Arabidopsis thaliana: one gene and its partner. Changing the gene in region 1 together with any one later gene gives a genetic interaction. Each region holds a gene or a part of one and is shown in the gene's direction. Other genes may lie near its edges.

Region 1 (7,891 bases):
ACTTAAAATAACAAATATTCGTTAATATGATAATTAAAATGCAAAAATCTTAAAAGGGAATGGTAAATATTAGAGGGGAAAATAGTAACATCAAATAAAAGTTTACCTTTGTTAAACTGTATATCGCTTTTTTCTCTCTCTCTCTCTCGATTATGATGGAGGGGCATATATAAGATGCTTAGGAGTTAGGACCACACCAAACATGCATGTAACAAAGACAAGAAGTAAGATTACGAAATATCAATCGTAAGAAAATTGATTCGTACCAAACAATTAAAATGGTACATTGTACATACTCTCTTCCTTTTTTATTTTCTCAAACCATATTCCTAACTTTCTCTCCTCTGTTTGAGTTCAAACTCCTCATTTTCTTTGTTACTTCCTCCTCTCTCTCTCGCTCTCTTTTTTTCTTAACGATCCTCCTCTTTTCACTATATTTGATCATTTTTGTATGACTATATATATATATATATACATAAGTATTCTATATAGCATAAATATACATATATCATGCTCATCATATTATTTGATATTCCTCAAATTTAAAGTGATTTGATACATAAACAACCTTGACTCAGTTAATCAACCAAATGATTGTATTACAGTAAATACAAAAAAAATCGACATTAGTTTTCTCATAAAATCTGATACTGACAATCTACCAAGTTAATTAAGTATATTTGTGACTTAGTCACTAGGCTTCATTTTTTTTGTGCTGTTACGTCTGACTTGAAGATTCTCCACATTCACGACTAACAAAAAATTGGCTTACTCGGTACACATGTTAAGATACCTAATTAAACATCATTTACTAACTGATTAGGGGTATGTCATGGTTGGATATAAAATTATTATAGATGTGTACGTATTTGAGTTAGTATAAATAACAGAAAATAAGGACAACTGGATTTTGTTTTTTTCGTATTTGCGAAATACATATATGCTAATAATACTAAAAAAACCATCGCAAGTGACAATATTATAGAAGAATGGTTGTTGGCAAAAAAAGGAAAGAAAAGAAAGAAGAATGGTCAACCCAACAAAAAAAAGGACTAGTCTTATTTTGGTTTATATATATGTGCAGAGTGTTGTGTGACAACATATCTTAAGTCAAGCTATATATTCTATTAATTTGAGAGAACAATTGTTCTTTTTTTTTAGAACATATTTTTATTCTAATGTGTGCATTAATGATGTTAAATAATTATTGTAACTGATGTTAAATTATAATTTTTGTATTATTAATAAATAAATGATTCAAATTAGTATCATTTAATTTTTTGACACAAATTATGTGATGCAATTGAATCTCTTTTTCTGTAATGGTAATAGCTATATTTTCTTAGATAATCCACATTATTATTATATTACCATCATGTATTTCCTTCTTAATTGAACTTACATTATAGTATCGCAGATATAAACTTATGATTTCTAAAAGTAAGGTGGTACAAAATCCTTACCGCTTTATGTATTACTACGTTGTCTTTAACAATTTCGTAATCTTACTGTTTTATATCTCTTTTTCTATCTTTTTAATATATATAGTATAACTAATAATACAATTGGACACAAATTTGATAAAAATAAAAATGTATAACATAAATTTAGTCGGAAAAATCCTTCGTCAATGTGTGCTTATACAATTCATAGTTTTGGGTGATAGTCAAATATAAGTGATAAGGCTACCTAGACTTTTTTCCATTGTTTTGAAATTCAACACTTGCATGGACACGTACTCGATTATTATTTTAATTCGCTTTTAGGGATAAAGATTTAGTCAAAAGTAAACTAGAGACAAAAAATAAAATAAATAAATAGAGATAGTAGTAGTTATAGTTCAAGAACCTGACAGAAATAACAGATTAAGAATAGACCAATAATGATTAATTAAAATACATTTATAAAGTCTATCCACCAAAGACCATATAAAGATTATACTTTTTTTCGTTTTGTTTTTTCTCGTTGATAAATTAAACTCAAGATCTTGTAATGTATGAGAATAGTAAGAGTAAGGGCTGCATATAGCAATTTACATGAATTAAAGGCGCTCTACTCGTATCACCATATACTTCTATGCTTTACAGTTTACCTAATTCACCATGAACTAACTATATATATCATAATTCCACCCAAACTATTAAATTCATCACACATAGAAAATTTCAATTCACCTCTGTACATGCTCTTCAACGGCTTGTTAATAAGGGATGGCTTCAATCCGGACCCGTTTCTTGTGCGGAAATCAAACCATAATCAAGATTGTCTTTGTCGACTATGTTAATTATTTTTTTAAGGATGTGTCTTATGTACATTGTAAAAATTATGATGTTCATTTTATTTGTCTTACTTCATTGCGGAGAACATTTCCTTTATTGATTAAAAACAATAATTATATTGTTCTTTCAAGACTTAAACGTTAGAAAGCTCTCGGAAAAACAAACATTTTCCCGTGTATTAAGCTGTACGTATATGATGTTATAATTATCTCAAGAAAGCATACATATTGATTGTAAATAAAAAGAGTAGACTAGAACACATGTGTTAAGTTGAGTTAGATTCGCTAATGAGCGATCAAATTGCTTACATACAGTCATCCGTTCTATCACGCACGATATTTCTCGATAAACAACTATCCATAAAATTTAGATGTCAGATAATTTTTGTAAGTAAATTCGCAATAAACATATATATATATATATATATATATATCAATTTTGTCACCGAGGACAATGGAATTTTCTCTCATTCTTATAATATTCTCAAATGATATTCGAGAGTACATTTTAAATAGGAAGGAGATTTCGATAACGATATTAATGGAACCAAGAATTTGTTTTAAACCTATTTTTGATATAAAAAAATCTATGCATTTGTATATAATACAGTTGGGTCAATTTATAGACTAAGAAGCTCTTAATTGTTCATATTCAAGAAGACAAAGCAAGTTAAAAACCTAATTTAACAAAAGAGAAAATATTCCATTAGACTTCTTGAAAGTACTTAGAAATTTAACACGAACAAATACACAAAGCGAATTTTTAATATATTTCTCACGCTTGCAGAAATTTCCTCACAATAACCACAAAATTTCTCAGCGATAAAAAAAAAACAGTTTAGATCTTTCAAACCTACTCGAAACTAAACTAATATTCAAAAGCACGTGCTCCCTAATAAAACTCATTCCTGACCCGACTACACAATACCCGACCCGACCCAAAAACATCTTATAAATATGTTCATGCAAACTCACAAACAACTCAAAACACTCTTCATCAAAACCATTCCTCTCCTCAAAACCATTAATCTCTCTTCTCTCTAGCATAACCTCTCTCAGATGGCTTCTAACTATGATAAGCTTACTTCTTCGAGAGTAGCCATCATCGGTGCTGGTGTTAGCGGATTAGCAGCCGCTAAGAACTTAGTTCATCACAACCCGACCGTATTCGAAGCCTCGGATTCAGTCGGAGGTGTTTGGAGGAGCTGCACTTACGAGACGACTAAATTACAATCGGCTCGAGTCGATTACGAGTTCTCCGACTTTCCATGGCCCAATAATAGAGATGACACAACTTTCCCACCTTACCTTGAGATATTAGATTACTTGGAATCTTATGCCAAACATTTTGATCTTCTCAAATTCATGAAGTTTGGCTCTAAGGTCATCGAAGTAAGGTTCATCGGTGATGGCGAAACTCCTCAGATGGTTGACCTTGGTGCTTACGGCAACTTGTTGCCCGGAAAACCTGTATGGGAAGTTGCTGTTCAGATCGGAGATTCTGGAGATATTCAGGTTTGTCTCAATTCTTTAATGCTAATTCAGTCTCATATATTTGCATATGCATGCATTTACACGAGCAAATGGTGCATACGCATATTTAAACTTACGTATCTCAATGTTTGTCTCGATTGTTTTTCGGTAACTTTGAAGCCTAAGCCGGATCTCAAACTGCCATATTACTGCATGCATCATTTATGAAATATTGTATATCAATGTTTTTGTGTGCAGTGGCATGCATTTGAGTTCGTGGTTGTGTGTACCGGGAAATACGGCGACGTTCCAAGAATACCAGCTTTTCCGGCAAAGAAAGGGCCGGAGATGTTTCAAGGAAAAGTAATGCATTCGATGGATTACTGCAAGTTAGAGAAAGAAGAAGCTTCTACTCTCCTCAGTGGCAAAAAAGTAGCCGTCATCGGCTTCAAGAAATCCGCCATTGATTTGGCTTTAGAGTCTGCTTTAGCTAATCAAGGTACATAGATATCTATGTCTATTTATATAAATTAGCTTCACTCTTAATAATTGGCTGATCAAGTCAAAATAAAGATAAAATATATATACTATATAGTGATAGCAATAATTGTCTTACTTACTAGTATATATTATTTCTTTTCGGTTGGACTTGGAACGTATATGGTTCTAGTTGGCAACAATTAAACAGTTACTCGCAAGTTAATTAAACAACATATTAAATATATATCCTAAGATGACCGATTTCGATCTTTATTTAATCTGATTCCCATAATTAAATATAATATTTAAATTTTGCAGGGGAAGGAGGAAAAGCTTGCACAATGGTGGTGAGAACAACTCATTGGGGGATCCCACATTATTGGGTGTGGGGCTTACCATTCTTCTTGTTCTACTCTTCGAGAGCTTCTCAGTTCCTCCATGATAGGCCTAACCAAAGCTTCCTTAGAACTCTCTTTTGCCTCCTCTTCTCTCTTCTGGTTAGTCATCTTATTACCTTTTTCACTTCTCTATATGCAAAAATCTTGAGAATTTTATAAGTTTCTTAACATATATGTGACAACAGCGTGCCGTAGTTTCCAAGTTCATCGAATCATATGTTTTATGGAAGCTACCTCTTGAGAAATATGGTCTAAAACCAAACCATTCTTTCGAGGAAGACTATGCTTCTTGTCAAATGGCGATCATACCGGAGAATTTCTTTGAGGAAGCGGATAAAGGGATGATCCGGTTTAAGAAATCATCAAAATGGTGGTTTTATGAAGAAGGGATTGTGTTTGAAGATGGGACGACATTAGAAGCTGATGTTGTGATACTTGCTACTGGTTATGATGGCAAGAAGAAGCTCAAAGCTATTGTTCCTGAACCTTTCCGAACTTGGCTTGAGTTTCCAAGCGGTGTCATGCCTTTATACAGGTACATACACATAAAAATCGTCTTTAGATTAATTGAAATTATGTGAAAATGCATTAGTTGCACACTTAAAAAGACGATCATGCTATAATATATAGTTCTATGACTATAAACATATTCAGTGGTACAAGTGGAAGCCTATATATTCTTTTATTAGTATACTCATGAAATTTGGACCGTTGCTTATACAAACTAAATCATTTACAGGGGAACAATCCATCCATTGATACCAAACATGGGTTTCGTAGGATACGTCCAAAGCAGCTCGAACTTACACACATCAGAGCTACGTTCAATGTGGCTAAGCCGGCTAGTGGATGAGAAATTCAGATTACCAAGCAAAGAGAAGATGTTGGATCAATTCTTAAAAGAAATGGAAGTGACGAGAAACTCAAGCAGATTCTACAAACGTCATTGCATTTCCACGTTCAGCATCCAACATGCTGATGATATGTGCAACGACATGGGACTCAATCCTTGGCGTAAATCCAACTTCCTCCTTGAAGCTTTTAGTCCTTATGGTTCTCAAGATTACCGACTCGGTCAAGAAGAAAAAGAAGATATGACTGCTTAAACTAAATTGAATATATATTACAAAATGAAATTGTTACGAATTGTTGTGTGATGGATGTATAATTAATGAATAAATAAATGTATGTGTAAAGTACATGATATTTTATATAATAATATTGTATTATTGTATGACCTTGGTCAAGGATTATTTTCAACTAGTAATTATGAAATTCCAATTTTGTCCTTTTGGTCAACGAGAAGTCAATTTAGCAATCGCTTCCTTCATGACTGGAATCATCATTGAACCCTAAACCCTAATTGATCGGCCAGAAATGGAGGGTTTGGAGAAGTTTTACAGCAAGATGGTGAAAGAAGCGAAATCGGCAGCTTCTTCTTCGTCGTCTTCTCTATCTGATTTTGCGGATAATCTGATGCAAGACAAACGAGCCGCCGCCGGCAACTTGACTACTACATACGACGCAGGATCCGGCACTCTGGTAACCAGACCTCCCAGGTAAGCTGCTTCTATTCAATATTTGTTCGAAAAGAGATCATTTTGCCAGTAAAGCTAAGAACTTTTAAGAATTTTGGGTGAGTGAGTGAGGGCATGTCTCCAATTTTTCAGATTCTCTCTAATTATGGGAAGGATGATAATAATAATCACTATTTCTGTGGATGGATTATGAATTGGTCTGCCTGCTTGAGAGAAATTTTAAAAAGATGGAACAAAAATGAAAAAGAGGGCAGATTTTGTGTTATAGCTCAAAACCTAGAGACCATGATGATTTCCCAGTTCCACATCACACAGAGCTTGTAAATTTGTAATGGCTTGTTCAAATGATCTAAGATCTTAGATACCCGAGGAACAAAACTGTGCAGGTCGATTATAGACTATCTAGTAGGAGCTTTGGGTTGTTTCTGATTGATTCGACTAATATGTAATGGCTTTACGTGTTTTGTGTACTATTAGTTCTAATTTAAGAAAATTATCTGACCTATCTTGGGACTGTGTTTGGTGGCAGCGGAGTTTCGGTCTGGACGTGTTCAAAGTTGTGCGCTGTTTTCTTTGTCGCTGGAGTGTTTGTGGGTTATACACTTAAGAGACGGGTTCGACGCTGGGCTTCTAAATTACTGAGAAGAATAAAGGATGATTAACTCCAACCTCGTCTTCTACTGCAAGTTTTGGTACACTTAGCACAAAGGCATTACTCTATTCTTATCCTTGAATGTGTTTTAGTACCAATATACTGTGCTGAGGCACCTTATCAATGAAAATTTGTTGTTTGCTTCTCTGCCTTTGTGACTAGTAGCTTGTGGTAATGGAAAGAGAGATTGAATCATCTTGGGAAAGACACGTATATTATTTCGTATAGTAACTTAGATTTGTTATTTTCATGCCTTTAGGCGGGGTCTATACAAACAGGCAAGACAATGTTTCCTTTTTTAACATAGTGTATATAATCTACTTTGCTAAGTGACTGTGAAGTTAGTGTGAAAAAAAATAATGGCGGGCTGGATTTGAATCTCACTTTAGGGAAAGTGATAGAAGCTGGCTTGTAACATTGAATTAGAAATGCTCCTTATGGAACTCGAACCGTGTGGTTGTTTTTTGACTCATGTCTTGTGCTTGCTTCTTCAACTCCTTTGCCACGGTTTGTATGCCGCAGTAAAACACTCCTGCACAATTATATAAATTGTTTTCACATATGCTTCGTAATACCTGGCCTAAATATTAGCAGACATGTTCATGTGTTTGCATGTGTCATAATTCCTATTGCAAGTTTTCTTTCTTTTCCAATGGTATTAATTCGTTAGTCCTAGAAGAGAGATTTATAAGATGTCTTGATGGTAAGCAGCTGATTGTATAGAATAATTACCGACTGTCGAATTTGGATGCTTTCTTGCTATGCTACTGAAGACTTCCTTCCAGTTGGGCCTTGCAAAATGTGTTCTCACCTGTTTGAATGATGTTATTTTGTCAGTTATAGGTAATATTGGCAAATAGTTTCTGGTTATATGCCCTGCATCAATTCTTACCCGTGTTCCGGATAGAATATCAACTCCATGTTTGGCATGGTTCAAAGCCTGGACCATTTTTATCAGGGTTGATCTTGCATCACCTTCATCATATACGCTTGTAAGGTAGTTGTGCAACTCAATCTGGCCCTGTATTACGAGAAGATGAAGGAATATGTTAGTATATCGATCAATGGTAAA
Region 2 (7,284 bases), on another chromosome or scaffold:
AGGGGTGGCCTTCATGCGAACAAGCTTTCCATGCTGACCTGAAAATGACTTGTGGGGAAAGCTAGAGAGTTTTCTTACCGAAAATAAATTGGAACGTAAAGGAAGAGAGAGTATAGATCCATAAGCTGATATGCATTGCATGTTTACTACTAGTGATATGGAATACATTTTCACCACCAAATTTATAGGCAAAACATAAGCGTTTTCATTAAGTCATCTTTTGAAAAGTTTTGGAAGAATGTATATTAATATCCCCATATTTATCTTCTTCAGTGTATAATACAATCTATGTTGGGACCATGATATTTTCTGAATTTATAGTGATATTAGTTTATCTTTAAATTGATATTTATTAATCTATATAGATCTTTTTTTAATTATTTAATTTTTTAAAGAATACGAGTTGACACAATTCAATATACATCAAATTAATGACTTGGATGTTGAAATTTGTGTAGTATTAGAATTGAAAATTTAATATTTCAAAAAACTCATTTGACAATAAATCACAATGACTATAACTGAATTCATTTATATAATAGATATACATACATCTAAGTTTATGATTAATAACCTCAACTATCAGATTTTTAAATGTAGTAGACTATTGAAATGAAAATAATGCAGATTAAGAAGTTGTATACTTATAAAAACTTATGACTAATTGTATTAGGAAGTTATAAACGATACTACAATATGATAGTTTTAAAACACAACATAATTTAATGAAAATTAGAGACAAAATCATTGTTTGATGTAATAATAGTTCAAGACAAACTCTAACAAACATTCAATAGTTCAAAAAATATTTAAACTATAGATTATATATATTATCGTATATATATTATATTTTTGTGGTTATTAATTTATGATGTTATTAAAATCATATTTTTTATATAGGGTTTTAAAAAATTGTTAACTTATTATTTTATCAAATTATGTTAAATTTTACATTCACACGACTTGAAACTAATATAATATTATCTTCTTGTATTTATTAATTTATCAAAAATTAATTTGTAGAGGTTTTACTGTAAAACATGTTTAGTTTTTCATTTTTTAAAAAACCTCCAAGTGGCAAAAATAAGATCCATCTCCATCTAAAAAAGTGCAAACAAATCTCCATCATTTAAAAATCAACGTTAACATCCATATCTATTGTTGTTGTTTTTTACTTCTTTTTCTCTTGGTCAAACTCTACGTTAGTTTGATCAATAAATATGACAAGAATTTTTGCAGTCTCATAGGCGTCTTTGTAAAGGTTAGTTAGCGTCTACATAATTTTCCGAAAGATATAATTTTCTTGAGATACAGTTAACTCAATTACTGAAATGTAATAACTTTCTAAAAGTTGTGGCTATTAAACAAAATTGTGAAAAAATTTAAACCAAAAGCCACTTCAAAAACAAAGAAAACCATAACCATTAATCAAAATTCTTTTTTTTTTGTTAACAAGTACTAGTTGCATTAAATTGTAAACATATGGTGGTGTTGTATATGTTTGATACAAAGAACCTATATAACAAAGGCTTGTTGGGATAGTGCATCTGCCACATTATTTCTTTTCCGATTGACATGTCCATAGATGAGTGTGATAGCTTCAACATCCAATATCGTATACCACCAAAGACTGAAGAGTAGTACCAAGAATATTTATATATATATTTATTTATTTATTTATTTTGGTAAGGAGAATATTTATATCATGATCCCACCATACTTTAATTGTTATGAAAAAATTTTAATTTGATTTTCATAAATTTTATAGTTTAGTTAAGTATAAAACCACAATTTTTTTTCTTTCAAATATTATTTTTGGAGAAAACCCCCAAATTTAAAAGGAAAGAGAAAAAATCAAATCATTCATCTTTGAGCTTTCTTTTCTTCTACAGAACCCTAATTTCATGTTCTAGGTGTCTCTCGAATGGTTCTCATCTCATTGATTACTCAATCTCTAGGGTTTAGTGGTTCATCCAAATTCGTACCCTAATGGGTGCCGTAGCGATCAATCGTAAACGCAGCGACGAATCCTTCAATTTCATTAATCAACAATCAACCAACCCTTTACGAAATTCACCGTATTTCCAAGCTTCCAAGAAACGAAGATTCTCATTCGCTATGTCTGAAGATTCTGGTAAGCCAGCGTCTTCAAACCCAACAATTTCGAGGATTTCAAGGTACCCTGATGCTAAAGCTCCTCTTAGACGAGAGATTCATGCTCCTAGTAGAGGAATTCTTAGATATGGAAAGGCAAAATCTAATGATTACTGCGAAAAGGACGCAAATTTCTTTGTTCGTAAGTATGATGATGCAAAGAGATCAGCTTTGGAAGCTTTGAGATTCGTTAATAAAGGTAAAGACTTTGTTGATTTGGGTGATGAGGTTGAAAAGGAGGAAGTTGTTTCTGATGATTCAAGTGTTCAAGCAATTGAAGTTATTGATTGTGATGATGATGAGGAGAAGAAGAATCTTCAGCCTTCGTTTTCTTCTGGTGTTACTGATGTTAAGAAAGGGGAGAACTTTAGAGTTGAGGATACTAGTATGATGCTGGATTCGTTGTCGTTAGATAGAGATGTCGATAATGATGCTTCGAGCCTCGAAGCTTATAGAAAGCTTATGCAAAGTGCGGAGAAGAGGAATTCAAAGTTGGAAGCTTTGGGTTTTGAGATTGTGTTGAATGAGAAGAAGTTGTCACTGCTGCGTCAGTCTCGCCCAAAGACTGTGGAAAAGCGTGTTGAGGTGATGAGATTTATACTAATCTTTCTTGAATTGGATATAATTAATGACATTGCTTTGTTTGGATTGTTTCTCTAAAATGCATATGATGTTATCGCCTACTGTTTGTTAGTGTAGACTGAAGATAGTACAATACTTGTTGGCTTTATTGGTTATTAAGCTGCAGTTATTACTTATGCACACAGAGTCAAAGTTCTTCTACTTATTAGAGTATATTGTAATCTTAGCGTTGAGATCGTTAGTGTGTTTCTATGTTTATTGTTGTTGTTAACACTATGTTTGTTGTGTTGTTGATATAATGAAGGTGCCTCGTGAACCTTTTATTCCTCTCACAGAAGATGAAGAGGCTGAAGTCTACCGTGCCTTTTCTGGGAGAAATAGGTATGGTTTCTTAAGACGCTCTAGCATGTTGAGTGATTTTTTTTAGTCTAACCAAAAACCAAATGTCTCCCATTTTTCAGAAGGAAGGTCTTGGCTACTCATGAAAACTCAAACATTGATATTACTGGAGAAGTTCTGCAATGCCTTACACCATCTGCATGGCTAAACGACGAGGTACAACTTGTTCCATAATATTCTACACAATTAAGAGCTCTTAAATCACATTTTCTTTTGCTGATTTCTTGTTCTGTTTTATAGGTTATCAATGTCTACCTTGAACTACTCAAAGAAAGAGAAACTAGAGAGCCCAAAAAGTATTTGAAGTGTCACTACTTCAATACCTTTTTCTACAAAAAGGTTTGTTTTCTTTCTGCTCAGATGATTTTTAACAAAAATTTGATCCTTTTTGCCTCATGTCAGTTCGACTGAGTAGCTGCTACTTGCTTCCATAAAAATGATAAGCAGTATGTTTAAGTGATCTTTATGATAAGATTATTGATATATTTGGCCTTGTTTCTCCCCATGGTACTCAGTTGTCTCTGGCTTCTGTATCCCATGAATGGCAGTGAGTAACCAAGACAAGCTGTGGCCTTCTTATACGTTGATGAATCCTCTGGCACTTAAATCTGTCTTTCTTTAATTATTTTTTTCAGCTGGTAAGCGATTCTGGTTATAATTTTAAAGCTGTCAGGAGATGGACTACGCAGAGAAAGTTGGGATATGCTCTTATTGACTGTGACATGGTAATTTTGTCGAAGAACCTGAATTTGAAGATTCTCTTGTTAATATTACGCATGTAGTCCAATTTATTTATGTTTAACTTAGTCTGTGCCCTCTGCAGATATTTGTTCCCATCCACAGGGGTGTGCATTGGACCTTGGCAGTAATTAACAACAGGGAAAGCAAGCTCTTGTATCTTGATTCACTGAATGGAGTTGATCCTATGATTCTGAATGCTCTGGTATGATTTAATTTCTAACTCTTATTCGCTTTATTTAGTCTATTAATAACTGACATGTTGGATGCATTAAAAGATATTAGATGCTGATAAATCTTTATCATCATTTCTTGATTCTGAAATCTGTTTGGAGACATTATGGAGATGCCAGAAGCTGTTATTGCTTTTTAAATCGGACACTACTGTGAAAGTGTTCTAACCATATATACTAGTCGTTATAGCTAATGCCAGATCTGATATTCTGCTTCAGGCAAAATACATGGGTGATGAAGCAAATGAAAAAAGTGGAAAAAAGATTGATGCTAATTCGTGGGACATGGAATTTGTGGAAGACCTTCCCCAACAAAAGAATGGGTATGTAACTATGCTTGAACTTGCTATGATCCATGATCATGTGAAAGGAACTATCTTGTTAAAGAGATAACCTCTGTAGAATCAGATACTTGTCTTCTGATGTGGGAATATGGGTTTTTAAGACAAAGGATAGATCTGGTTTGAGATTGATTAGGAGAAATTCACCTGATATAAATTTTGATAATGGAATCAACAAGGGTATAACTTAACTGTTCTTATGCTCTTTAGCACTCTGGTTAAGCTCTCTGCTAACTCTATATTGTTTCTTTGTTGCAATCTTTTATATTCTCAGGTATGACTGTGGAATGTTTATGCTTAAGTACATCGATTTTTTCAGCAGAGGCCTGGGGCTATGTTTCAGCCAGGTAAGCTATCAGAATCCAAATCTCTGAATGCCTCAAGAAACTGTAGTTGAGAATAAAAACTGGTTGTCTTGAAACAATATGGAATTAGTATATCCCCCTAGCAGTTTATGTAACTTGTAGGATTTAGGCATTTAGCGTAATAACATTGTATTACTTTGCAGGAACACATGCCATACTTCCGACTCAGAACAGCTAAAGAGATTCTGAGGCTACGAGCTGATTGAAGTTGCTTGTGCTAATGTTTTTTCGGCTATTAGGAATACTATTTTTGGTTGCCATTGTTGATTTGTTCAAACTTTAAATCCCACTCCTTTTAGGCAGTGAAGCACTCGGCTTTAAAAGCAGAGGTAAAAACTGAGTCAAGCCCAGAGCTCTTAGCTCGTTCCGTTATTGTATTTTTTTCCTTCTTCTTGTTTTAAAATGTAGATGAAGCGTTTTGGATCTCTATGTTGGTTAGTCTAGCTGAAGATATATGAGATGTTGAAAACCTTATTTATTTCTCTCCGGTCTTGACCAGTGCGAACGCAATTTAAAGTTTCCATCTAGTATCGGTTCGATATATTTTCCTCTGTTCAATAGCCAAAATTCCATGAATAATCTCTTGAAAGCAAATGTTTTCGATATACAAATGTTCTGCACAATTTCCCCAATACATACACGAATATGTTACAAATATACAACAAACTGCTGTTTGTGAGTACAAATGTTGACAAGGACACAGAAAAAACAAAATCCCAAATGTAACATTGACATATTAAAACCCACTCCCAAAAACAAAAACAAATTCCCCAATTCATAAAACACGAGAGGAAGGAAGACTTGTGTGTATCTCCTAACAAAAACTGACTGGAAGGCAAACTAACTTCCACTGCCTTTCCTAGCGCGGAACTCTCTTCCGGCTAAGTATCTCCTGTTCTTTCAGACGGTGTTGGAACCGAGCAAGACGGGCTTGAAGACTTACAAGACCAGCTGCTTTACGGGACAACACAAAGCTCAGCTGTGTAACATAGTTGTCAATCATGCTCCCTGGCCGATCCACCTTCGCTAGTAATTTCATTTCCTACAAAAAAAAACATGAAATAATGTTAAAACAATCACAAGACATATGAGCCATAACCTCGTGAACTATTTCCATTGTATCCTCGATCTCTTTTCTGTGTGCTGTAATTAAGGTCTCTTCTTCCTGCCAGAGTTTAAACAAAATAATTACCATATTACAGGTTTTCTAAGGTTATTCGTGAGCGATATTCATAAAATTCCCTCACGCTCATAGCATAATTTAGAAGTATAGAAGGGTCAAATGGCTCTTTACCTCAAGCAATGCATCAATGTTTTCATCAAGAGAAGGCTCCGTTGTTTCATACTGCCTTGAAGATGTATCGCTTGTGTTCTGACTGCTAGCCATATTTTGTTGTCTAGAATTTGTCATGGCAGGGACATCAGTCTTGAGAATAAGATGAGTGAATCCTTTGACTAGTGGAGCCGCCAAAAGAAGATTTTAAAATGTTAAGCATAAATCATATTCCTTAAATGTTAAGTGAATCCTTTGACTAGTATAGTATAGTGTCTGGTTTTTCATTAGACTTTCTGAGATGAGAGGTATTTCTATTAAAACTTAAGTTGAAGGTTTTAAAATGAATCAGCCAAAACTGCAGGGTTTGTTTCATTAAAATCCCAAAATTGTTTCGTATACATCATATTACCCACTGAGGACTCTGCTCTTTGTGGAAATGCTAAATTAGCCCCAAACCTTTTTCTAAGTCCCACTTTGAATTCTAATAAGAACGAACAGATCGCGGGAAATCCAAAATGATTTGAAACCTTTTCACCTGAATTTCTGTGAAATCCAAAATTCTCTCTCTATCAGTAGAGAATCGCCATGGATGAAGAGCTTCTGCTCACTAGAATCCTTGCAGGAATCGAAGGAGGAGACGATGAATCTGACTATCATGAACTCGTCACGGATCTCAAATCTCTACTTGATACAGACGATGATGAAATTCTCAATCGATTCTACGGTAGTCTCTCCTCAATGGCTTCTTCGTTTCTCCGCTGTATCTCCGCCGCCATGGATTCTCCGGTTGAATCAGGCCGTCTTGCTATTTTAGCCTCCGACGCTTATCTCAGTCTGCTTCTTTCCACGAATTGCCCCGTTTTCACTTTCTTCTCTCCGATTGCGTTTCTTTCTCTACTTGGCTCAATTCGCCGCTACCTCAAACGCCGTGATGATTCCGCCGGTCAAGGGAGTAATTCGCAGCGAGAGAAAGGGAATAAGAAGAAGAGAGGACGTGGTAAGAGGAATTTAGGGTATGAAGATGGGGAAGAGACTGAAGAAGGTGGATTTGATGCGAAATTGATGTTTATAGTGTTAGAGAAGCTTGGCTCGGTTCTGAGTTTTGTTCATTTAGATAGATTTCCTGATAGTTTGAAATCTTTGGTACAAACTGTGAGTGAGATTCCTTTATTGGCGTTGGAGCACTCTGGAGTTTT

Evidence for each region.
Region 2: of FMO1 (region 1) and ESD4, changing one suppresses a phenotype caused by changing the other (phenotypic suppression), as found in Arabidopsis thaliana (one study listed by BioGRID).

The regions. Positions count from the first base shown.
Region 1 is NC_003070.9:6,648,500-6,656,390, reverse strand, and holds FMO1 (flavin-dependent monooxygenase 1), read left to right. Parts: upstream 1-3,195; 5' UTR 3,196-3,337; coding exon 3,338-3,793; intron 3,794-4,009; coding exon 4,010-4,250; intron 4,251-4,549; coding exon 4,550-4,728; intron 4,729-4,814; coding exon 4,815-5,164; intron 5,165-5,368; coding exon 5,369-5,735; 3' UTR 5,736-5,915; downstream 5,916-7,891. Other genes in the region: AT1G19240 (uncharacterized protein), read left to right, coding at 6,007-6,188, 6,697-6,829; AT1G19230 (Riboflavin synthase-like superfamily protein), read right to left, coding at 7,242-7,351, 7,552-7,630, 7,712-7,840.
Region 2 is NC_003075.7:9,010,780-9,018,063, forward strand, and holds ESD4 (Cysteine proteinases superfamily protein), read left to right. Parts: upstream 1-1,790; 5' UTR 1,791-1,989; coding exon 1,990-2,739; intron 2,740-3,040; coding exon 3,041-3,117; intron 3,118-3,197; coding exon 3,198-3,291; intron 3,292-3,375; coding exon 3,376-3,474; intron 3,475-3,770; coding exon 3,771-3,860; intron 3,861-3,958; coding exon 3,959-4,078; intron 4,079-4,306; coding exon of another isoform or gene 4,307-4,312; exon of another isoform or gene 4,313-4,325; coding exon 4,326-4,429; intron 4,430-4,721; coding exon 4,722-4,794; intron 4,795-4,955; coding exon 4,956-5,018; 3' UTR 5,019-5,400; downstream 5,401-7,284. Other genes in the region: TS1 (terpene synthase 1), read right to left, coding at 1-168; AT4G15885 (kinesin motor protein-like protein), read right to left, coding at 5,672-5,854, 5,912-5,977, 6,107-6,199; AT4G15890 (binding protein), read left to right, coding at 6,674-7,284. UniProt on the Arabidopsis thaliana protein: Protease that catalyzes two essential functions in the SUMO pathway: processing of full-length SUMOs to their mature forms and deconjugation of SUMO from targeted proteins. Cleaves precursors of SUM1 and SUM2, but not of SUM3 or SUM5.